2 linked regions of the Caenorhabditis elegans genome follow. Each later gene encodes a partner of the first gene's protein in a complex. Each region holds a gene or a part of one and is shown in the gene's direction. Other genes may lie near its edges.

Region 1 (10,915 bases):
ACACTACAAACTACAACTTTTTCTAGCCTCACCCAAGTTGGTTGAGGCTGAAAGTTATATTTTTTTTTAATCTGAGCCTTACCAAATGCATTTTCCACTCAAAATCATGCAATTATACGCTGAAATCTCACTTTTCTTCATGAAATAACATCTAAATTTTCGATTTTCCGTTTAAAATTGCAGAGAAAAATGAACTTTTCCGGCTGGTTGAGGCTCACACTACAAACTACAACATTTTCTAGCCTCACCCAGCTTTTGGTGAGGCTTGACAAGTTGTAGTTTGAAGTGTGAGCCTCAACCAAACACGTATTTTTGGCAGAAATACGCGATTTGCAGTCAATTTTTGACTTTATTACCCTAAAAATTAACAATTTCCGTATATTTTCAGCTGAAAAATCACAATTTTGCCATTTTTTCACTTCATTTGTGTTTCTTTTGTGTTTCTGCACGAAAATTGAGAGAAAAAGCCTTTTTTCTTTGTAATTTTATTTGAAAATGAATAGAAAAGTGACAAAATTGTGATTTTTCAGCTGAAAAGAAACGGAAATTGTTAATTTTTATGATAATAATGTTGAAATACTACAAACGACAACATTTTCTAGCCTCACCCAACTTTTGATGAGGCTAGAAACCTTGTAGTTTGTAGTGTGTGAGCCTCAACCAAATGCATTTTCCACTCAAAATCAAGCAATTTTAACGGAAAAAACTTGAAATTCCAATCATTTTTATTCAATTTTTCAGCGAAATTCCATCAATCCAGACGATGACGGTGGCTCATCAGATAGTTCGGAAGAGGAACGACTAAGCCTAATCGAGAGACAATTGAAGAAAAAGGGCGGTCTCGTCAAATATAATCCGCCGAGAACGAAAATTCACGATAAACACTATAAAAGGTGCGGGAATCTTCAATTTTCGCCACTTTTTAGTGAAAAAAAAACCTCTAAAAACGAAGAAAATTACTATTTTCAGTGGAAAAAACCCAAAAAAAAACCGAGAATTTTGCTTTTTCCAGAAGAAAATTGCTTAAAAATTGGATAAAACTGTTATTTTTAATCAATTTTCATCATTTTTTAGTGAAAACCTCTAAAAACGAAGAATATTGCTATTTTCTGTGGAAAAAACCCAAAAAATACGGAGAATTTTGCTTTTTTCAGAAGAAAATTGCTTAAAAATTGGATAAAACTGTTATTTTTAATCAATTTTCATCATTTTTTAGTGAAAACCTCTAAAAACGAAGAATATTGCTATTTTCTGTGGAAAAAACCCAAAAAATACGGAGAATTTTGCTTTTTTCAGAAGAAAATTGCTTAAAAATTGGATAAAACTGTTATTTTTAATCAATTTTCATCATTTTTTAGTGAAAACCTCTAAAAACGAAGAATATTGCTATTTTCTGTGGAAAAAACCCAAAAAATACGGAGAATTTTGCTTTTTTCAGAAGAAAATTGCTTAAAAATTGGATAAAACTGTTATTTTTAATCAATTTTCATCATTTTTTAGTGAAAACCTCTAAAAACGAAGAATATTGCTATTTTCTGTGGAAAAAACCCAAAAAATACGGAGAATTTTGCTTTTTTCAGAAGAAAATTGCTTAAAAATTGGATAAAACTGTTATTTTTAATCAATTTTCATCATTTTTTAGTGAAAACCTCTAAAAACGAAGAATATTGCTATTTTCTGTGGAAAAAACCCAAAAAATACGGAGAATTTTGCTTTTTTCAGAAGAAAATTGCTTAAAAATTGGATAAAACTGTTATTTTTATTCAATTTTCAACAATTTTCCGCTAAAATCACTCGCCCCTTTTACCACGCAAAACATGGTGATTGGCGGAACCCGCGAAGCCGTCCGCCGCTCAAATTGCGTATAAAAGGACGAATTTTCTATGGGTTTTCGCATATTTTTCATGATTTTTCCTAGTTTTTCGGTGGAAAATAGCTATTTTTAGGCGGAAAATTCCAATTTTTATTCAAATTTAGTCAATTGTAACCCATTTTTATTCCAGATTCGGCAAAAACGAGCGTTCGGCGTTGGCAGAATTCGAATATCTTCAGGATATGTCTACAGACGTCTCGGGGCTCCAATCAAGCCCTGAACTCGGACAATTGATGGGACAACTGCAGCAACAGAGGATGTAGAGCTGATTTTCAGTGGAAAATTCTAATTTTCTGTGAAAAAAATCGAGTTTTTTGGGTAAAAATTCATAGAAATCTGAATTTTTCCCCCAAAAATTGAATTTTTAGTCAATTTTTACCATGTTTAACCCTAATAAATCCCCATTTCCCCCCCCCCCCCCCCCCCCCCCCCCCCCATTTTCGTGTCAATTTTCGGGTAAAATTCCCATTTTTCGCTTGTATTTTTGCCCATTTTTCATTGTTTTTTCTCTCGAATTTTCTCAGATAATCAATCAATTTAATTGAATCTTTTTTTTTGTTGAAAAAATTGAATCATTTTCCATAATTTTGTCATTTTTTTCCCATAATTTGAAATGAATTTCTCACTTTCCTATTTTCGCTATTCTTTTCCGGTTTTTTCGGGGGGAAATCCTCGAAAAAGTGTAATTTTGCACTTGAATATTTTTTTTTTTAATAGTTTTTCTATTTTTTAGCTGAAAATTCAATTTTTAAACGTTTTTTCACATAAACCAACGTTTAACAGAAATTTTGTTTTAAAAATCGGTAAAAACCGAATAAAAAGTGAAAATTCGAAGAAAAATTTAGAAAAAAACAATTTTTATTCAAAAACTCTAATTTTGCTGTAAAAATTTGGAAAAAACTTATTTTCATCACATTTTTAGTCGCTAAATTCAATTTTCAGTCGAAAAATTGAATTTTCAAGCGAAATTTTGAATTTTCAGTCAGAAATTCTGCTAAAAATTGCAAATTTCATGAATTTTTCTTCAAAAATTTCATTTTTTAATGCCAAAATCCAATAAATTCCACAAAATCATAATTAAAATTCGAGTTTCAATTCCAAAAATTCTGAATTTTCCACAAAAAAAAGATTTTTTCCGCACTTGGTTGCTCACACTACAAACTACACAATTTTCTAGCCTCACTCAACTTTTGGTGAGGCTTAAAAAGTTGTAGTTTGTAGTGTCGGCCTCAACCAAATGCATTTTTCGAGCAATTTTAAGCCGAAAAGTCAGAAAAAACTCAACTTTTTGCCGAAAAACTTTGAAAAAATTAGATTTTCATAACATTTTTAGTCGAAAAATGAATTTTCCCGGTGAAAAATTAAATTTTTCAGCGAAATGATTGTAAATTTCATTTTTTTTCTTGAAAAGTCTAATTTTTATGCGAAAATCAATCAAATTTGAAGAAATAATAATTAAAATTCGAGTTTCATTCAAAAAACTGAGAACTTTCCCCAAAAAATTAGTTTTTCCGGAGTTGGTTGAGGCTCACACTACAAAAACTACAACATTTTCTAGCCTCGCCCAACCTTTGGTGAGGCTGAAAAAGTTGTAGTTTTTGTAGTGTGAGCCTCAACCAAATCCATTTTTCACTCAAAATCGAGCAATTTTGAGCAGAAAATCCATTTTTTCCGTGAAAAAATTTAAAAATTCGTGAATCATCAGGTTTTTAGAATTATTTTTAAAGTTATTATCGTAATTTTTTCCAATTTTCTACAAGTTTTTAGTCTCACCAAAAGTTGGTTGAGGCTAGAAAATGTTGTAGTTTGTAGTCTGTGCATTTTTTGGTGTTTTCTTCTTAATTTGCACAATTTTGATTCATTGTTTATTCGGAAAAATGGAAATTTTATCGATTTTCAAATTCAAATTAAATAAAAATTCAATTTTGAGACTAAATTAATGGTTTTTTTTTCGAATTTTTCAAAATTTCCGTTTTCTTTTTTTTCTCTGAAAATTTTCTAAAGAATATCAATAGACAGAACTCATGAATTTTCAAAATTCAAAATCTCTAAAACTCAAAATCGAGCAACTTTGAGCAGAAAATTCAGAAAATATTCAATTTTTTCGTGAAAATTTCTTGAAAAATTCGTGAATCTCCAGGTTTTTAAAATATTTTTCAAAATTTTTTATTGTAATTTTTTCCAGTAATGAACAATACACATCATCACACAAATGGGTATCGAACGGAAAAGCCAAAAAATGAAGAAGATCTAGAGGATCCTTACGCTAATCTCTCGGATTTCTACAAAAATCATCCGGCAGCACGGAATGAAGGTAGCGAAAATCGAAAAAAAAAACTTTGGAATTTCACTAATTTTTCATTTTTTTCATTTTTTCAGCATGTTCGTCAGCTTCTAATGGCGGCTCTAAAAGTGTGAAAATGGAGCCAAAAGTGGAAAAAAATGAAGAATTTGAAGAATATATTGGTGATCCTGTACGATTAGAAGATATGGAACCATTTGCAAGACCATCACTTCGAGATGATGCACCACTTTCATCTATTTTACATCCGGATCTTGATGGAATTGATCCGAGGTACTGAAAACCACAAATTTCTGTTGAAATTGACGTTTTTTACCGGAAATTTCCACGAAAAACTCAAAAATTCTATCAAAAATCACTGAAAATTGGGAAATTTGACAAAAAATTTCATTTCCTGCCGAATCCTGTAATGTGTAGTATGAGATGTGTGTGGTATAAAAATTGACAAATTTTAATTTAATAACATTAAAAAAAATTTCATTTTTCTCTAAAAACTTTATTTTTTTTTCCATTTTTACAAACTTTTTTATAAAATCACCCGAAAATTCGAATTTTCTTCGGAAAATCTATTTTAAAAACTCTGAAAATTGCTCGAAAATGACATTTTTTGAATAAAGTATTCCAAAAATGCTCAAAACGTGCTGTTTCTTCCAAAATTCCATAATTTTCTTTTAAAATTCCGCAAAATTTGCTTGCCCTTGAAATTGAAAACTGAAATTTTTTGAATTTCCCGCCAAAAGTCGATTTGGAAAGAGTTTTTGCTGGAAAAATCAAAAATTTCGACAAAAAATCGTAAAATGGGATTTTTTTTTCAAAATTTTTCGAAAAAAAATCGAGTAAAAGTGACGATTTTTTTTTCAATTTTTGTTGAATAAATCGAATATTCAGTAAAATTTTCATTTTTTTTTCTCGAAAAATTGATAGAAATTCTAATTTCGTTGGAAAAAACAAATTTTCACTTTTTTTAAGCATGAAAAGCGCCATTATTTCAAAAAATTGGCAAACATTTGCCGAAATTCGAATTTCGCGCAAAAATCGAATAAAAGTGACGATTTTTGTTGGAAAAATCGAATTTTCACTGAAATGTTGGGTTTTGTTTTATTCGAAAATTGAAAATTGAAATTCGAATTTTGCTCCAAAAGTCAGTTTTCCAATGAAGTTTCATAAAAACACACAAATACACAATTTTTAAGTCAAAAAACCCGAAAATTGGCAATTTCTGCAAAAATTCCTTTAAAAAACTCAAAAATTCACTCAAAAATCGTTGAAACCCGTGTCACTTTTCCCCGAAAAAACCCACAATTTTTCCACACAAACCCATGGTTTTCCTAGCCATCAGAAATCTCATGTAAAACTCGAAAATTTGCTTTAAAATTGTTAAACCTTTTTTTCGAGCCAAAAAAGCCAAAAAAAGCCTGAAAATTGGCCAATTTCTGCAAAAATTCCAAAAAAAATGGTTGAAACCCGTCATTTTTCCCCTGAAAACTGGTTTTTCTCGCCGAAAAACTCGAAATTTTGATGTAAAATTGCTAAAAACTGCTAATTTCTTCTAGAATTCCATAATTCTCTGTTAAAATTTCCAAAAAAATTCCGAAAATTCGCCAAAAATTCACGCAAATCACTGAAAACCCCCATTTTTCCGCAAAATCCTTTAATTTTATTTTCAGAATCTTCTTCAAAGACTTCAATCCAAACAAAACTCTTCGTTTCTCTCGACTTTTTGCTCAAAATATCAAACATACGTCCCGTGCCGAGATCTGGTGGGCTTCCCGAACCTTCTCCAAACATCAACGCAAAAAAGAGCCCGAAGAGCCCCTCGCTGATGACGTCATCGTTGGAGCCAAAAAGCTGAAGCTTAACATCATTGAGAAGGTGCCACGTGTCATGTTGGCTGACGATGAAGAAGAACGAATGCGGAGACCGATACTGACGGATGCAGAGGAAATGGCAAAGAAAAATGAAGAGGGTACGGTAGTTCAGCCGTGGAGAACGGGTCCCGCCAAGATTTGGTATGATATGATGAATTTGCCGATGACTAGTCAAGCTGTTAATTATGGATTCAAACTGAAGGTAAAAATAATGAAAATTTGCAGAAAATCGGCTGAAAATTGCTCAAAAAAATGGAATTTCCTTTGAAAAACTGACTTAAAAATGGCTGAAATTGGCTAAAAATGATCAAAATTAAAGTTTCCTGGTAAAAAATACACTGAAAATGGCTGAAAAATGGCTGAAATTCGCCAAAAATTGAAGTTTTCAATAAAAAAAACCCTAAAAATCGCACTAAAAATCTGAAAAAATTACCAAAAAAGCGCAAATTTGACACAGTTTGCTCAAAAAAATTTGGTTGAAGCTAGAAAATTTCGTAGTTTGTAGTATGAGCCTCAACCAAAATTGAGAATTTTAAATTGGTTGAGGCTAAAAAGTTGTAGTTTGTAGTATGAGCCTCAACCAAAATTGAGAATTTTAAATTGGTTGAGGCTAAAAAGTTGTAGTTTGTAGTGTGAGCCTCAACCAAAATTGAGAACTTTAAATTGGTTGAGGCTAGAAAATGTTGTAGTTTGTAGTGTGAGCCTCACCCAAAATTGGTTGAGGCTAGAAAATGTTGTAGTTTGTAGTGTGAGCCTCACCTTAAATTGGTTGAGGCTAAAAAAGTTGTAGTTTGTAGTGTGAGCCTCAACCAAAATTGGTTGAGGCTAGAAAATGTTGTAGTTTGTAGTGTGAGCCTCACTCAACAATATATTTTTAGTTGAAAAACGTGATTTTCAGTCAATTTTTGATAATTTTTAACTAAAAATTCCTGAAAAATATAATTTCCAGCTCAATTCCGACAATTTTCCGGTTATTTTCACGGCTTAAACAGCATTTCATGAGTTTTCAGACAATTTTCGGTCATCTTAGACAATTTCATCTCATTTTGTCAATTTTATAATCAAATTTTATCGTTTTCCACTAATTTCTATAGTTTTTTTTTGTAGAAAAATCGGAAAAAATTGCTGAATTCCTCAAAATTTCAAAAACTTCCTCTCGAAACTTTAATTTTCAATTAATTTTTTAACAATTTCAGAAATCTCCTCAAAAAGTATCAATTCGAAGTGGAAAACCGCTCAATTACCGTACCCCGGATGATCTACCATCCACGTCATCAGGCCCCGCCCCAAACTCCGCCCCTTTCTTGGATAAAGTGGAAGTAATTGATAAAAGTTGTGAAGCTTCAACATCAGAAGATATTCTATTACCATATCAAGTAATTGAATGGGAAAATGATGTGATATTAGATGGAGAAGAAGTTAAAGATCAACTTTTGGAAGAATTTTCGAATGGAAGAGGTTGTGGATGGATTCCCACACAGTATACGAGAACTTATGAGCATTTTGTATATGCTGGTATGGATGAAAATGTGAAAAAAAGTGCAAAATTCGTGAAAACGGCAAAATTTTGACCTAAGAATGTTAAAATTTGGATAAAATTACGAATTTTGGCCCAAAATCGCCAAATTTTGATGAAAATTTCAATTTTAGCATAGAAAATTGTGGAAAATAGTAATTTTGACTTGAAATTGGCAAATATTTGTCAAAATTGCCAAAACTTATGAAAAATGACCAATTTTGACCGAAAAATTGCTGAAATTCGTGAGAATTCATCAATTTTCTATTAAAATTGCCACAGTTCAAAAAAATATGCCAAAAATCTTTTAAAATGATCCATTTTGACTAAAAAATGCCGAAATTTTTGTAAAAATGTCAATTTTTGCAAAAAAATTGCCAAAACGCGTTGAAAATTCTCCAATTTGTAAAAAAAGAACAATTTCGACCCGAAATTATCAAAATTTGTACGAAATTCTCAATTTTCACCAAAACAAAAAAAATTAAAAAATTCGTACTTGAAAGTTTCAAAAATCGCAAATTCTGGGCTTCAAATTGGACAATTTCAGGAAATCTGAACCTAAAATTCAAGAAATGTACGTAATTTGTACTGAATAAATTCACAAATTTCAGACTTTAAAGGTGGTGCTGTCGAATTTTTTAAAAATTTCTTTATTAGACTCAGAATTGTCTGAAAACATCGAATTTCATAATGAAACTTTTTGAAAACTTTCCAAAAAAAGTTATGGCGGCTCGAAAAATGGTCTAAAATTAGTGAAAACTTGAAATTTGACCAACTTATCATTGTCGCAGCGGCTGGAAACAATTTTTTTTTGAAATTGTCGTCTAATTTTGGGTATGCAAGTTATTTATCGTGTGCTTTCAACACGGTTTAGGTATTTTAAAGTCGATGGACGAAGAGATTTGGTGAAAAAAATTGAAAAATCTCATCGACTTTAAAATACCTGAACCGTGTTGAAAGCGCACGATAATTTACTTAAATATCCAAAAGTAGACGACAATTTAAAAAAAAATTGTTTCCAGCCGCTGCGACAATCATAAGTTGGTCAAATTTCAAATTTCACTAATTTTAGGCCATTTTTCGTGCCGCCATAACTTTTTTTTTTGAAAAGTTTTCAAGAAGTTTCATTATGAAATTCGGTGTTTTCAGACAATGTTGAGTCTAATAAAGCAATTTTTAAAAAGAAATCGACTACACCAACTTTAAATCCTAGAAATCCTTATAATTTGGACCTGAAATCAAAATAATATTCGCAAATTTCGCACCTGAAATTGAATAAAATTGCTAATTTTCTAATTTTCCAGCCAACAACAACGCATTCGAGCAAATGTTCGACGGAAAATCCGCCCCGATCAACCTAACAGGCCCAGATTCGGCAATTCTTCCAACACCCGGTCACTCGATATTCCCCTCTGCTCCATGTGACCTCGATATTCTTCCATGGGAAACTAACATCATTTGGGATGCCGACGCGATGCCTTCAACACTTGAACCAATCGATTTTCTCGTAGATTTCCAAGATGATCCTCTGATTTATGGAATGCCAGAAGATCGGAGACACGATGAAGGACCCGATCATCATCATCATCATCATCATCACAGAAAAGACGGTCAATACACGAAAAAGTCGAAAATGATACTGGGACAAGTACAACAGCGGCAAAAACAAGAAGAAGACGAACAAATGGAGAGTACGATGGCCCAATTCACTGATAATGATCCATTTAATCTGTCGAATGATGATTACTATGTACCCAAAGCCACTTCGAAAACTCTATCCAATAACTCTTTGCTCATTCAACATTCGACGCCTGCCACCAACATTGCCACACACTTCTTCCCGACACACCCGTCGGCGTTTAGACTGAGATATTGGCATCGGACACCTTTTACCAGGAGAATTGTCAGGCATTGGCAGCCTATGCGGTTTCAGGTATAAAATGTTGGAAATTGAGGAATGTTAGAGCTGCGTTATAATTTAGGATAAGACTTAATATAAGTTGTAGGCAGAATAGTTATAGTCAGTTATAATACATACAAATTTATATAATAGGTGTTATAGTCATAGTAATTAGGTATAACATACATAGTAATACATTATATACGTAGTAGTTATGATAATTATATAGTAAGTAATTGCAATAGTTAATTAATTATAATAGTTGTAACAGTTATATTTAGTTACGTTGTAGTTAAGTATTGTAAGCATATAAATATATATATATATATATATATATATATATATATATATATATATGTATGGTAGTCGTTATAGTCATAGTAATTAATTACGTTATATCGTTATATCTAAGTATAACATGTATAATATATTATATACACAGTAGGCATAATAGTTATAGTAGTTAATTACGTTATAATTAAGTACAAGTATAATAAGTATAATTTAAATTAAAAAATTAAATTGAGCAATCCACGACTGGATTATCGGCCACAGTCCCCGGCTAGGACGTGGCTTAAATTACAGCCCAGAGGGATCACCACCAGGCAGTGTACCTGAAACCCAGATCCACAGTGCATAGCACTTGAAGAACGGATCGTCCTTTAATCTTTTTTTTTTTAATATCTAAGTATAACATGTATAATATATTATATACACAGTAGGCATAATAGTTATAGTAGTTAATTACGTTATAATAAGGTACAAGTATAATAAGTATAATTTAAATTAGTTGTTGTAACAGTTATAATTAATTATGTTGTAATCGAGTGCAATGTATTAAATAGAACCTATAACGGATTGTCATAGTTAATTACGTTTTAGTTAAGAATAGTATACCTATTAATTAATTTTTTTTAGTCGTTATAGTAATAGTAAATACTTACGTTATTTAATTAGGTATAACGTACTTAATACATTATTTACATAGTAGTTAATTATGTTATATTTAAGCAATAGTGTAATACATATAATATAAAATAGTAATAGTCAAGTATAGTAAAGTAGAACCTATGATGGTTATAATATTCATAGTTGATTGCGTGGTATATATTTTTAGTATACGATTTAAATATCGTAATTGGAAAATAGATATAAAAATCAAATACATATGAGAAACATGCACATAAAATCATAATGAGCATGACATAGATATATAAATATATTATAGGTTGTCATAGCTAGCTATAGTGATTAATTACGTTAGTTAATTGAGTATAGTGATTATAATAGTCATTATTAATGCCGGTAACTAGGTTGTAGTTAAGTATAGCCGTATTATATTATATTATACCAGCCGTGGACCGCACCTTCGGCGCGGCCCCCGACTTCTGGGGCTGAAAATTAATTTTTTATGAAACTACCGTAACCCTACAGTATTCTTACCGTACCACTATTG
Region 2 (14,063 bases), about 13 Mb from region 1:
TTTTTTCAAAATTCAATGATTTTTAATGCAGACCGCGCCTATCTGCCTACCGCCTATTTTTGGCATTTTTTGTGTGCAAAACAAAATCAAATTAGCTTTTTTCTTTTCGTTTTTCTACGATTTTTTCCAAATTTCAAGATTTTTCGGATAGGCACGACTTCCCACCTACTGTGCCTACCTACCTACCGCCTATTTTCGGCATTTTTTGTGAGCAAAAAGAGATCAAATTAGCTTTTTCTCCTGTTTTCTACGATTTTTTTGGGTAGGCACGACTCCATGCCTACCGTACCTACCTACCTACCTCCTATTTTCGGCATTTTTTCTCGTGCAAAAAATCATATTTATGAAAACACTATTATTTTTGTTTTCTGAATTTTTTTTCCAAATTTTGTGATTTCTAGGGTAGGCACCGACTTCATGCCTACGTGCCTACCTACCTACCGCCTATTCTCGGCATTTTTGTGAGCAAAAAATTAACATTCTTGAAAATCCTTTTTTTGTTTTACTACAATTTTTTCAAGTTGCATGATCTCTAGGGTAGGCACGATTTCATGCCTACTTGCCTATCTACCTATTTTTCCCTTTTTTCGTGGTTTAGGTAGGCAGGCATGAGTCAGGCACGAAAATCTAGAAACATAATTTTGATTCTATCGGTAAAATAGGCTTTCAAGACAGTTTGAATTTTTCGAATTTCTACCAGCAAAAAATAATATCTGAAATTTTCGCGGCGAGACCCAAAAACTGACTGAGATTTGGCGAGCGTCGACATAGCGGCTTGCGAAAGACGGAACGGTGTTGTCAGATTGTTGGCGAAAAGCTGAAATTGGTTTTTCGAGGTCAATTTTCCACGTGGAATTCAAATTTCAGCACTCTCGAACCTTATCAAAATCCTCGCCGGATGTCTCAATAATCTCGCCGAGCACCTCATTCTGTGGTGGAACTATAATTAAAGTGTCCAGACCGCCGAGCTTCTCAGCCACTTTCGTGATCAGCTCCTTCCTGTGCTCGGCATTTGCCACGTCTAATGAGAAAGCTGTGACGTCACCTCCAACCTGAATTTATTCCCGAATTTCTCTTTGTCAAGTTCTGAAAATCTGCCTAAACCTTTATATTGTCCTCTGCAACCTTTCCCACACTATTCGGACAGTCTGCGGCGGCGGCGACCTTGTAGCCGGTGAACGCGAGTCTTCTCACGACGGCTTTACCCAGTGTGGACGTTGCCCCGATTACAAGTGCACATGACATTACGCTGAAAGCCCGATGAGGAGGCATATTTATAGATACACCTAGACATCAGGTACATTTATTTGGAAATCCGTAGAAAATAAAGAACATGTGAAAATAAAACAGATCATTTTATTATTTAGAGGGGAGAGGGAGGGGGAGCAAAGTCGCTGACTGAGAACTTTCGAAAACCGGTTAGTTACTCCAGTTGTACGGCTTATTCATGCCATATTTTCCAAGATTTCCACCATTGTGTTGGTATTGAGAATGTTGATTCTGCTGAGCTGCCGGCTTCGATCCAGACATCTTGTCGTAACTCTTGCGCTCGTCATCCTGTCCGTAGAGTTGACGACCTCCAGCGCTGCTTCCAACATTGGGCATCATGTTCATGAATGGAGTAAACTGGTGTGGAGCAGGTGAGTACTGCTGCATGAACAACGACGACAAGTTTGGCTGCTGCATGTAGTTCGTCGCCTGGAACCCTGGTGGTGGTCCAACATTCGACGCCTGCTGTGGCTGCTGATCCCGAGAGCTTTGAGATCCGAACTTATTGAAGTCCATAAGTCCATGAGTCTCTCGTTGTTGACCAGATTGCACTTGTTGCGCAGAAGCAGCCTGTGACAGAGGAGCAGTTGGAAGCAAGCTTGTAAGATCAACTCCCATTCCGTATTGCATAAGAGCAGCAGTATATTGCTCATCTCGAACTCCTGGCATTGGATTGTACATGTTCATGTAGTTGTTCATGTATGGTGCATATGGGAGTTGTTGAGTGAACATCATATGTGGATGCTGTTGTGGATGTCCAGTCGGTTGTGATTGAGCTGGTGGAGTTTGTTGCTGCTGCTGCACTGGCTGTTGTGGGGCTTGTTGCTGCTGCTGCTGTGGCTGGTGCTGCTGAGCAGATTGCTGTGTTGGAAGTGGTCCAGAATTGTTGAACTTGTTCGGCGCCATCCTGTCCGTTGGTTGATATGAAGCGGACGAAGTGTCATAGGACAATCCTCTGTTAGATTGACCATATGACAATGGAGGTGAAGTCGATTTTAAGTTGTAATCGCCGTTAGGAATTGACGTCCTTTCTGGCTGAAAAATAATCGAGAATTAGAATAAATCGTCTTTGCAACAAATTTAACTCACCTCAACTTGTTTCGGCATAATACGAGAAGAGTTAAATATATTTTCACTGGCATTTGAGATCGAGGCAGCGGAGGATTCAGTAGAAGGAAGCTGTGGGCTTGGAGCAGCCTCAACAAATCCAAATGAGTAGTCATGAATGTTCGTTGGTGCAGTTGTGCCAACAAATTCCACTCCAGGATCAGGAATAATCTGGACTGGTGCTGCACTTGGAATTGGAGATAATCCTAGTCCTGGTGCTTCACTCAATCCTATTCCAAGATCCGTCTTCAGTTGAGTGGTCCATGCTTGATTTGGTTCTGGGGTGCTTTGTACATTTTCATCGTGATGAGTCGACACATTAGGCGTCTGCTCCTCAGCCAAAACTGATGATTCACTGAAAATTAAATTTTTAATAATCTAAATACAGGGACAGAACAACTTACTTTTGGAAGAAACCATCTTCTTTCTCCGGCTGATGCGAAGTTTCTGGCTCGAAAAATACTGGCGCTGCTGCTGGCTCTTCTTTAACTGGTGCAACTGACGGAAGTGGAGGTTGTGGGGAGAGACTCCTCCTTGGCGGAGCTGCTGGTTGAGGATTCTGTGCCTGGTGCTTTCGGAGTGCTTCTTTGCGATGGGCAGCTGCTGCTACTGCAGCAAATGAGATCGGTGCCGGCGCAGAAGATGTGGGAACAGTGGCGGTGACGGATTCCTCTACTGGTGGTTGAACTTCGGTGACTGTGGTATCCACTTTAGTCTGATTCTGAAAAAAAAACACGTTTCGTCATTTTCCTTCTTCAAAAAATTCTTACCTCATCAAGATCAGCAGTGAACGCATCTGGCTCAAGTGCTGATGATGGAGCAACAGCTCGAGAATATCCACCTCTGGCGCCACCTCTTCCACCTCGTCCAACATACGGTTTTTCAAATCCTCCTCGAGTCGAGCGTGGTGCTGCTCCTTCCTTATTATCACGGTTATCCCGATTATTATCTCGGCTTTCTCTTGGAGCTCCATTGGATCGCCCGCGGCCTCCTCGATCGACGAAACCGGTGCCTCCACCTGAAAAAAACATATCAATATTTGATCTATTTCAATCAAGCACGAACCTCTGCCTCTTGCTACAAATCCTCTGTTGTTATAACTGCCCTCTTCCGGCTTCTTCTTTTCCTTTTTGGCTCCTTTCTGTTCAGTCCACGAGTCAAGTTTATCTCCAGCATCCAGAATGTGATCGATTGCGCCGTAAAGATTGTTGTCAGTATCCAATAGCGCTATCTCAGCTTGTGCTTGTGTACATCCGGTGGTTTCGATAATCTGAAAATGAAAAAGACATGAGCAGTGAAAAAACCCCTCTTGGGAATGCGCGAACACTTTAATTAGCCCAAATGAGTAGGACATCTGGGTACTCTTACTCTCGCTGCACCATCTCAAGCGCGGACACCTGCTTTTGTCCTTTTATTTGCCATCTGGCCCCGTCTTATCGATTCGAAATTCCTATTGACACTGAAAGCGGACACTAGAGAAGTTCAAAACAACAAAGTCACGTGCGTCATCATGTCGGTGTGTGGCGAGCGTTCGCGTGATGCAAAGATCACTATTTTCAGGAAAGCGTCATTTCCAGCTTGGAGACTTACCGTCTTGATCATAAACTGTATGTCCTCCTCATTTCCGGAATTTCCTTCCAGTGTGAGTCGTGCAAGTCGCGCTTGATCGCTGGTAGCTTTTTTGTCGCCTTTAATACCCATTCTGAAAACAAATTATAAATAAAAAGGGTCAGTCATGTGAACGCAAGAATGGAATGAGAATCACGAGAATACAACTATCAAAGGAAGGTTGAATGAAAGGAAGGTCAAATAGATGACAAAAGTAGGAAAAGAACGAAATATGGAACCTTCCAGATCAAAAAAACATTATCAAAAGAAAAGCCTCGCACAGAAGACTCTAACGAACATGTTAGGATGAAGAAATATTTCAGCAATACATCACGTTGAACTTTGGAGGATATTCTAGAGAAGAAAACCCCTACATTTTACAATAATTTTGAAATGGAATTCGAATGAACTGCTATACAATGGAGAATCCTATTTAGCGATGATAAAGTGTAGGCTTGTTACTAGATTGAATAAAAATTTCGAAATGTAACAATACATTGACTGAAAATTTGGGTATTTCAGAGTGTGATATCACAAAAATCAATATTTCCACTAAACTCAAAAGTTCTTACGCTGAAAAATCATTAAAAAATTGAAAAATCACCGCAAGCTAGACTAGAATCGCGTTCAAATCTCGCAAATTCCCGCAGTTGAAAATGCGGGCGACCGCGACGCGAGCCGCAACGCACCCCTCCAAACATGCGGCATGGGTCTCGCCACGACCGAAAGTACGGTCACTCTTGGCAGTATAAAAGGCGACCATTTTCCGCTATTTTCCGGTAAATTTTCAAATGAAACTGTGTTGCGGAGGGGGTTTTCCGCTAATTTTGCGGAAATTTAGCTATTTAATGTGAAAATGTGAATAAAACAAAAGAAAGTGGGGAGGAATAGCAAGGAAACACACTGTTGAACCCTGGGAATTATCGATTTTGTATGAACTCTTCTTTTATGGCGTCGAAATTATCGACACGAAAACTCAAAACCTTGTCACATTTCTGAGAGAGAAATATCATTTTCAGCACACATGAGTCTTCCCAGATTTCGACTCGTTCAGGGAAAGGCGATCGGCGAGCGATCAACGCCAGGAGTCAGCACACCAGAGCCGGTAATTGTTTTTTTTTATTTCAAAATTTCTACAACAACAAAAAGAACTAACAATAATTTATTCCTTTGATTCCAGGCCCCTCCGCAAATAAAGCAGGAAGTCGACTACCAAGATGCTCATCAAATGGCTCCGGAACCCGTGGAAGCACCCCGTAAATATTTAAAAATTTAAAAAAGTTAGAAAAAAAATTTGAATCCCAATTTTCAGAGGCTCAAAACCATCAAATGCAGCCGCCTCGTCAACCTATACAACAGCAGATGCAGCATTTTCAGTCACCATCGCCAATGGCTCCACAAGGGCCGCCCGGGACTCCACAAAACTCTGCAGCGGCGGCCGCCGCTGCTTCAGATGACAAAAACGTGACAAAATGCGTCCGCTTTCTGAAAACTTTAATTAATCTGTCGAATAACGATGATCCAGAAATGCCGGACAAGGCCGCCCGTGTCAAAGAGCTAATTCGAGTGAGGAATTGAGCGAAAAACGCGATAAAAACCGGACAAATTCGGATATTTCAGGGCGTAATTTATCTGGAAACGACGGCTGAAGAGTTTACACGAAATCTGCAACAAGTGCTCAAATCTCAGGCTCAACCGCATCTTTTACCATTCCTTCAGAATACTCTTCCGGCATTGAGGAATGCTGTTCGAAATGGTTCGGTTTTATGTGCAAAAAAATTAAAATCGACAAAAAAAAAATCATCGAAAAACAGGAAAATTTGAGTTGAAAAGCAGCGAAAAACTTGAATTTAACATAAAAAATTGCAAAAAATCCGTTGAATTACATTTTTCAAGAAATTGTGTAGAAATTCCATGAAAAAAATTCAAAATTTCCAAATTTTTTGGCTATTTCTAGTCAATTTCTTTAAAATTCCATTTTTGATAGCGAAAATTATCAAGTTTCTAACAATTTCAAGCTGTTTTTGGTGATTTTTTCAATTTTTCGGCTTTGAAATTCCATTTTCCGGAGTATATTGTCATAATATATCCGAGTTCCACAAAATTGAGCAAAAAAAATTAAAAATTTCCCTTTATTTAAAAATATTTTCAGCTGTCAGTAATATATGGATTTTCCGCAATTTTTCTCACAATTTTGAGCAAATTCCTGATTTTCAGCCAATTTATAAGGATTTTCACCCATTTTCATAATTTAGGGCTATTTTCAGCTGAAAAATTGTAATTTAAAGTTTTTAAAATTTTTATAGATTTTCTCAAATTTCAGCTCAAAAATTCGATTTTCAAGCGCATTTCCAGGCAATTTATTAAGATTTTCACCAATTTTTTTAGCTTAAAATTTAAAATTTCCACATTTTTTGTCTATTTCCAGTAAATTTCTTTAAAATTCTATTTTTGAAAGCAAAAATTATCAAGTTTATCGCACTTTTTCAATTTTTCCGGAGTATATTTTGGTAATTTATCCGAGTTCCACGAAATTGAGCAAAACAATTATTTAAAAACTTCCCTTTATTTAGAGCTATTTCCGCAAATTTTCTCGCAATTTTCACGCAATTTTCATAATTCAGGGCTATTTTCAGCTGAAAAATTGCAATTTAAAGTTTTTAAAATGTTTATAGATTTTCTCAACATTCAGCTCAAAAATTCGATTTTGAGGCGCATTTCCAGGCAATTTATGAGGATTTTTACCTATTTTCTAGATTAAAAATCTTTTTTTTTCCTCAATTTTGGACTATTTTCCCTAATTTTCAAATTTCCAGGCACTGCATCAGTTGAAGGCGTAAATCCACCGCCTGGCTACGTTTTCAACAATGGAAGAACCCCAGGACCCCCTCAGCCACCTCCACCTCAACAACAATCCCAGCAGCAGCCACCACTAGAAATGCGTCAAATTCCGAATCCGAATCAAATACCCCCACAAATGGTTCAAGGGGGTCCCCATATGGTATCTGTAGGCGCCCGGCCAATGATCAGGCCTATGGGCCCCGGCGGCCCAAGCCCAATGGGCCTACAAGGCCCCGTACGAGGGCCGATGGGACATCAGATGGTCCAGATGCATCCTCCTCCCCCACCACAGCAGATTCAACAGCAGCACCCGGCTCCCCCTGTAGAAATGGAGGTGGAAGAGAATTTACAGCCTACCGCGGCGGCCACGGCCACGAGGCAATATCCTGAAGGATCGCTGAAATCGTCGATTCTGAAGCCGGATGAGGTGCTGAATAGGATCACGAAACGAATGATGTCATCGTGTTCGGTGGAAGAGGAGGCGCTTGTCGCGATTTCAGATGCTGTTGAGTCGCATTTAAGGGAACTTATTACACTGATGGCCGGAGTTGCAGAACATCGGGTGGAGAGTTTGAGGTATTGAGGAGAATTGATTTTGCTTCAAAATACGGCAGCGAAAAAAAAATTAAGCAAAAATAAGGAAATTATTGAAGAAAAATCGTCTTAAAAACAATTTTACATTAAAAAAAAAGATTTTTAAATTTCAAAGGTTCCGAACTATTTATTAAAAAAACATCTAGATTTTGTTTTAAAATCCAAACAAAAAACATTGCTGAAACGCGGTAATTTTTTTTCAAAAAAATATAAAAATCTGAGAAATATTTTCAAAAATATCTCCAATTTTCCCCTGATTCCGAATATCTATTCGAAAAAATTCAAAAAAAAAATTTCCCTTTATATTTCAGCTTGAAATCGCTTTGTGCATGCACACCATGAGATTTTTCAAATGCGCGCCCAGATAAATTCTCATTGGGGCGCACTTGCTTCGTGTCGATTTACGGGAGCTCTTCATTTTTAAATTTCTTTTAAGCTTTTTTTTTCAGTTTTTCAACGAGTTTCCTTGATCTTCGTCGATTTTTTGTCATTTTTTTTCCTGAAATTTTGTTTTGTGTCAATTTGAAAATTTTTTAGGTCAAAACTCCTGTGTTCGTCGAGATCTGACGTAAAAATATAAAATTCCGGGAGTTTTGAGATATAAAAAAAATATTTTAAAAATTTCAGAAAAAAAACTGACAAAAAAGCGACAAAATAAAAGAAACGCGCAAAAAAAAAAAAAAAAAACTTAAAAAAGCACGAATAAATTTTTTTAAAAAATGGAGAGCTGCCGTAAATCGACACGAAGCAAGCATAAAAAAATGGCTTTTTTCCTAACAATTTTTTGTGAAAAATCCGAATTTTCCATCCTAAACACTACAAAAGATTCCAGAATTCCGGAGAACTACGTGGCAATTGATGACGTCAAACGGCAACTTCGATTCCTTGAAGATTTGGATCGTCAAGAGGAAGAATTAAGGGAAAGTCGAGAAAAAGAGTCGCTAATTCGAATGAGCAAGAATAAGAATAGTGGAAAAGAGACGATTGAAAAAGCGAAAGAAATGCAACGACAAGATGCTGAAGCGAAAAGGAATCGAGATGCGAATGCGGCTGCAATTGCAGCACTTTCCAGTAATAAAACTGTCAAGAATAAGTTCGTTTTTAGCGTGAAATTTGCAGAAAAATTATTTTTAAAAAATAGATTTAAAAAAAACAATTTCCTGACCAAGGGTGTCATTTTTCGATTTTTCGGTTTTCAAAAATTCGAAAAATGAAAGTTTCGTTTTTCGATTAAAAAACTGAAAAACCGACACCTTTGTTTCTGAGATTTGGATTTAGAAATAAGCAAAAAAAAATTATTCAGAAAAAATTGTTTTACAATGCTGCAAAATCGATGAAAAAATAAAATAAATCAATAACTAATTTCTAAAAAATGGAAAAAAATTTCGTTTTTTTCGAATTTGTATTTCACAAAAAAAAATTTTTAGAATAAAAATTTTCAATTAAAAAATTACTATTTAAAATCACTGAAAAAAAATGAAAAAAATAGAAAATTCAGAAAAATAGCGAAAAAAAAGTTTTTTTCCAGAAATTTCGTTAAAACGATCAAGATTTTAACCCTAAAATTTAGATAAAATCAATTTCTTGTGGTTCTTAATTTAAAAAAAAAAACAGTACTTTCCAGTAATAAAACTTTCAAGAATAAATTCGTTTTTAGTGCGAAATTCGCAAAAAAAATTACGAAAAAGTGAAAATAGAAGCTGAAAGGAAAAATGTTTAAAAAATAAGAATATTTTCGACATTAATTGGTTTTTATATATATTTTTTTGTAGAAGTTTAAAAAAATTACTAAAATCACTGAAAAAATTGAAAAAAATTTTAAAATCTGGAAAAAAAGCAACAAAAAATTAATTTTTCCAGAAATTTCGTTGAACTATTCGGTATTTTAAGCCTAAAATCAAGATACAATCAATTTGAACAAAATTTGCTTTAAAAATACTAAAAATTCGAAAGAAATAGAAAAAAAAAGAAATTTTCGAAATTTGGATTTATTGTTAGAGAAAAGCTGAACACTTACAAAAAATTAATTTTTTACGTTTTGAGAAAAATTTTTGAAAAAAAAAATCGATTTTTAAATAATTTTTAGAATTTTTTAGAACTATAATTTTTGAATTTCAGTGACTTATAATCACAGAAAAAAATGAACGAAAAACAAATGAACATCTTTTCGGCAAAAAAACGTATTTTAAAAAAAAATTTAAATTTCTAGTGACTTTGAAAAAAAAACCACATTTTCCAATAATTTCCAGGAATAAACTAAATTTCTTTGGAGAAATTTGAAATTTATTTCACATTTCGAAAAAATTTATATAGAAATAAAAATTTATATGAAAATAAAAAATTTGCAGCTCCTTCCAGTAATGAAACTGTCATTTGTTGAAAATTAGTTTTTTTTTAATTTAGAAATTCTCTTTTCGAAAAAAAAGGTTTTTTTAAAACTTGATTAAAAATTAATTCATTTTTTTCCAAAATTAGGGAAAAAATAATTTCTAAAAAATTAGACAAATACACTTTTTTGTTGAAAAAAACAACATTTTCCAATAATTTTCTTTTTTTTTAAATTGCTTCCACTAAATTCACTTTTTGAAGAAATTTTTTGAAATTTTTACTGAAAATTGTTGGAAAATTATTAAATGTGCATTTTTTTGCAATTTCCAGTTGATAAACTAATTTCGGTTCAATTTAAAATAAATTTCGAAAACCAATTTCAAAAAATTCATTTTTTACAATTTGTTTTTGTTGATAAAACGAGCTAGTTTCTACCAAAATACCGCTTTTTTACATTGAAAATTTAAATTTCAGATGGGAAAACACGGGCGCCGCAACGACAGCACCTCGTCCACGAACAGTACGTGTAACAACTCGTGATCTACATCTTTTAGTCAATCAGGATAGCCGATTCACAGGGTAGCGATTTTTTTTGTTTAAAAAATTTTTTTAAAAAACACCGTATTAAACATTGATTTTTATTGGAAAAAACTGATTTAAAAATTTTTCAAAAAACTTTCAAACGAATGGTAGTTTTTAATATTTTAATTTTAAAAAATTCCAATAAAAATCAATTTTTATACGATTTAAAAAAATTTTGAAAAGTTATCCAATTTTCTCCTAAAAAAACTCATTTTTTTTCCAGAACATTCATCCGTGAAAAGATGTCATACGGTGGTCCGGCAGTCGATACAACTATCTGAACTAAAGAAATCTCATGGAAAAAGGAGCGAAAATTCTGCTTTTCTCGTTTTCTTTTTTTAAATTTAATTTTATTTTTCCACAAATTAAAACAATCACTTTTTTCCAGTCAAATAATAATTATTTCTCATTTTTAAACGAAATGCTAGACATAAAAAAAAGCTTCTTTTTCAGCTTTTCAGCCAAAAATTTCAGATTTTTCAGAAAAAATTCAACAACAAAAAATTGGCAAAGTGCAAAAAAACCAGAATTAGATATTAAAAATACAGGAAAAATCGAGAAAAATGAGTTACAATTCAGAAAATTAGGCAATTTTTTTTTCAAAATTTCTCAAAAACACTGAAATTTCGGTATTTTTTTCTCTACTTGAGCACAACCTCGTGTTGCACCAATCGAACATAGTCTTTGAGCGTCGGTGGAAGTGGAAGCTCATCGATTATTCGCTGATAGACACCGTCGGCACCGGCGATTTCCAGATTTCTACGTTGGCGAAGGTGGATGGCGCGCTGGAAAAATTTCTAATTTCGAGCTGAAAACTCTTTTATGAAAGCAAAATTTCATAGTTTCAATTCAAAGTTCGAATTCCTCGCAAAATTTCAGTCGGAAAACCGAAAACTAGAAGTTTCTTGCTCGAATTTGAAATTTCGAGGGGTACGGTATCCTCGAAAGTACGCAAACACCGAATTTTGTTTTTTTGAAGTTTTGGCGCCAAAAATACAATACCCGGGGTCTCGACACGACAAATTTTTAAAATTTTTTTGAGTACTGTAATTTCAAACAAAAAGTTTTTTTTCGAATAAACTCGAATAATACGATAAAAAACATATTTTAATAAAAACCGTGGCAACGAAAGTTTGAAAGTACAGTACTCTCTTCAAAGGCGCACACCTTTTACGCATTTAACTTTCGTGGCGAGACCCCGGGGATACCGTAATTTTTGACTCAAAATTTAAACAATAAATCCGTTAAAATATTAAAAAATTTTTAGATATTTTTCAAAAAGACTGTCGAAAAATTGTTTTTTTATAATTTTTAGAATATTAACAAACAGTTTAAAAATTCCAACAAATTTTGTTTTTCATACCGAAAAGAAGAAAAATGGACAAAATAGTAAGCTATTTTTGTGTGTCAAAGTGTCTTATTTCGGCTTGATCTACGTAGATCTACAAAAAATGCGGGAGAAGAGACTCAGAGTTCTCAACTGATTTCGCATGGTTAAGAACGTGCTGACGTCACATTATTTTAAGGCGAAAAAATCCCGCCTTTTTTTGTAGACCAAACCGTAATGGGACAGCTTGGCACCACGTGACACCCCCCGATTCTCACCTGTTCGTGATTTTGGCGAACTGCCATTTCTTTCAAATAATCGTCTAGCGGGGGACTCGATGCTGAAAAAAAAGTTTGATTCGTTAGAGGAGCACAAAATTCTGAAAATGCGTATTGCACAACATATTTGACGCGCAAAATATCTCGCAGCGAAAACTACAGTAATTCTTTTTAAATGACTACTGTAGCGCTTGTGTCGATTTACGGGCATCGATAGAATATTTTTAAAAAAGAAGAAAAAAGAGGGAATAATACGAAGAAAAAAAGGAAAAAAATAAATTCATTTCAGAAATCGAGTTCGTAAATCGACACAAGCGCTACTGTAGTCATTTAAAGAGATACTGTAGTTTTCGCTACGAGATATTTTGCGCGTCAAATATGTTGTGCAATACGCATTTTAAGAATTTCCAGTTTTTTCAAACCTTTAAACTTACATTTTCGCGGTTTTTTGGCGCTCTCGGATTTCGGGGAACGTATACGTCGGCGACGTGACGTGGTTGAAGCAGGGTCCGTCGAACAACATGGCTCTTCGTCTTCCGATACTTGGGATTCTGTTGATGTTGACGGTGATTCCTGAGGTTCCTCTAGAGCATCTGAAAGCTCTTGCTCATCTTCTGATAAATCTCCATTGGGACGTTCAACCAGGCCGGTGGTGGAAGGATCATTGATGTTCGGAATCATTACAATCTCCATTCTCGGAGTATTTGGAGTTTCTGGTCGAGCTATCGAGGAAAGTATGCGATGATGGCGGGGTCTATCATGATTAATCGTCCATTCGAGCACATATGCTGGTGCTGGAAGGATTGAAAATTGTAAAAACTAAGATTTTTTGGCCAAAAAAATAATATTTTCTCAAAAATTTTGAAATTCTCGACAAATATTTTTTACTACTGCCGGTACAGAGAATGTAGATAGTTGAAGAGACACAGACATCCCGGGACCCAAGGGACGGGGCGCGGGATGTCTGTGTCTCTTCAACTACCTGCACTCTGTGCTGGTAATATACTTTTTCCAAAAAAAAAACCTACATTTCGGAAGTAAAAATGGAAAATTTCGGAGTCTACACAATTGGAAATTTTAATTTTTAAAAAATTAAAAATTGTTTTAATTCGGAGTTTTAGACGGAAAAAATTATTAAACTCTAAAATTTTTAAAAATCGAAAAAAAACAAGTCTGAGAGTGAAAAAAATTAATAAATTTTGAACTGAACATTAGATATTTCGATTTTTTTTTGAAAATCATAAATGTTTTCTCGCAAAATTCGGATTTTTTTTACCTGCTCGATTTTCAGTAGCCGGAGCTGTATTTCTGAGATTGGCACCATCCAAATGTGCTCGGGGCGCTGCAAATTTGATATGAAATTTCACTAAAAAATTAGGAACTTATACAAATTTTCTAAAAGAAATACTAATGTTAAGATAATCGAAAGTTTGGAGTGACAGAAAAAATTGTTTCAGCTTCTAGAAATATTTTAATTTAGAAAAAAACTTCCAGAAAATTAAAATTTTTTTTTAGAACTTTTGAACATTTTTCCTGATTTTTCTTTTTTTTCCATTTTTTGGAATTGCTGGGAATTTCTCTTTTTTCCTTCATCCCACAGCTTCGCTTCAGCCTAGGCCTAAGCCTGAGCCTGAGCCTATGCATAAATCTAAGCCTAAGCCTGAGCCTAACCCTATGCCTAAAACAAAGCCTGGACCTAGGCCCAAGTCTAAGTCTAAGCCCACGCTCAAATTTAAATCGACTCAAGTAACTACTTTAAAGTTGGCAGAAATATTTGAATTCAAAAAAATTTTTAACCAAAAAAAAAATAATTTAAAAGAAATTGTTTTTTTTAAATAAAATCAACAATTCACCTGTAAAACCTTGCATTTCTCTCCAATTCAACATTTCTTGAAGAACGTCAGTTCTTGTTTCATTCCATCGACGAACATGATCTGCTATAGTATTTCGAATATTTTGTTCATTGTTTTCTTGTTCTCTGGGATTATTATTACGACCCAAATATTGATCCATGACGTCATCCAAGTGATTACGGGTTCTTTGATCTGCTGGGAATATTTATAAGCACTTTTTTAATTTAAAACATATTTTTTAGTGATTTTTTTTCGAACTTTTGAATTTTGAATTAA

The links.
Region 2: taf-1 (region 1) and taf-4 share a complex: the UniProt entries of both Caenorhabditis elegans proteins name them as parts of the TFIID basal transcription factor complex.

Annotation. Positions count from the first base shown.
Region 1 is NC_003279.8:13,857,416-13,868,330, forward strand, and holds the start of taf-1 (Transcription initiation factor TFIID subunit 1), read left to right. Parts: upstream 1-4,058; 5' UTR 4,059-4,060; coding exon 4,061-4,187; intron 4,188-4,252; coding exon 4,253-4,448; intron 4,449-5,842; coding exon 5,843-6,245; intron 6,246-7,239; coding exon 7,240-7,558; intron 7,559-8,863; coding exon 8,864-9,492; intron 9,493-10,915. Other genes in the region: W04A8.6 (ANK_REP_REGION domain-containing protein), read left to right, coding at 742-893, 2,004-2,136. UniProt on the Caenorhabditis elegans protein: The TFIID basal transcription factor complex plays a major role in the initiation of RNA polymerase II (Pol II)-dependent transcription.
Region 2 is NC_003279.8:377,825-391,887, forward strand, and holds taf-4 (Transcription initiation factor TFIID subunit 4), read left to right. Parts: upstream 1-5,001; 5' UTR 5,002-5,008; coding exon 5,009-5,089; intron 5,090-5,164; coding exon 5,165-5,240; intron 5,241-5,296; coding exon 5,297-5,550; intron 5,551-5,604; coding exon 5,605-5,740; intron 5,741-6,800; coding exon 6,801-7,401; intron 7,402-8,251; coding exon 8,252-8,512; intron 8,513-10,221; coding exon 10,222-10,326; intron 10,327-10,552; coding exon 10,553-10,610; 3' UTR 10,611-10,740; downstream 10,741-14,063. Other genes in the region: R119.3 (DeHydrogenases, Short chain), read right to left, coding at 747-817, 879-1,052, 1,105-1,245; Prion-like (glutamine/asparagine-rich) domain bearing protein pqn-59, read right to left, coding at 1,420-2,304, 2,359-2,731, 2,781-3,097, 3,147-3,394, 3,442-3,646, 3,967-4,077; R119.5 (Protein-L-isoaspartate O-methyltransferase domain-containing protein 1), read right to left, coding at 10,971-11,114, 11,935-11,996, 12,369-12,728, 13,211-13,276, 13,788-13,982. UniProt on the Caenorhabditis elegans protein: The TFIID basal transcription factor complex plays a major role in the initiation of RNA polymerase II (Pol II)-dependent transcription.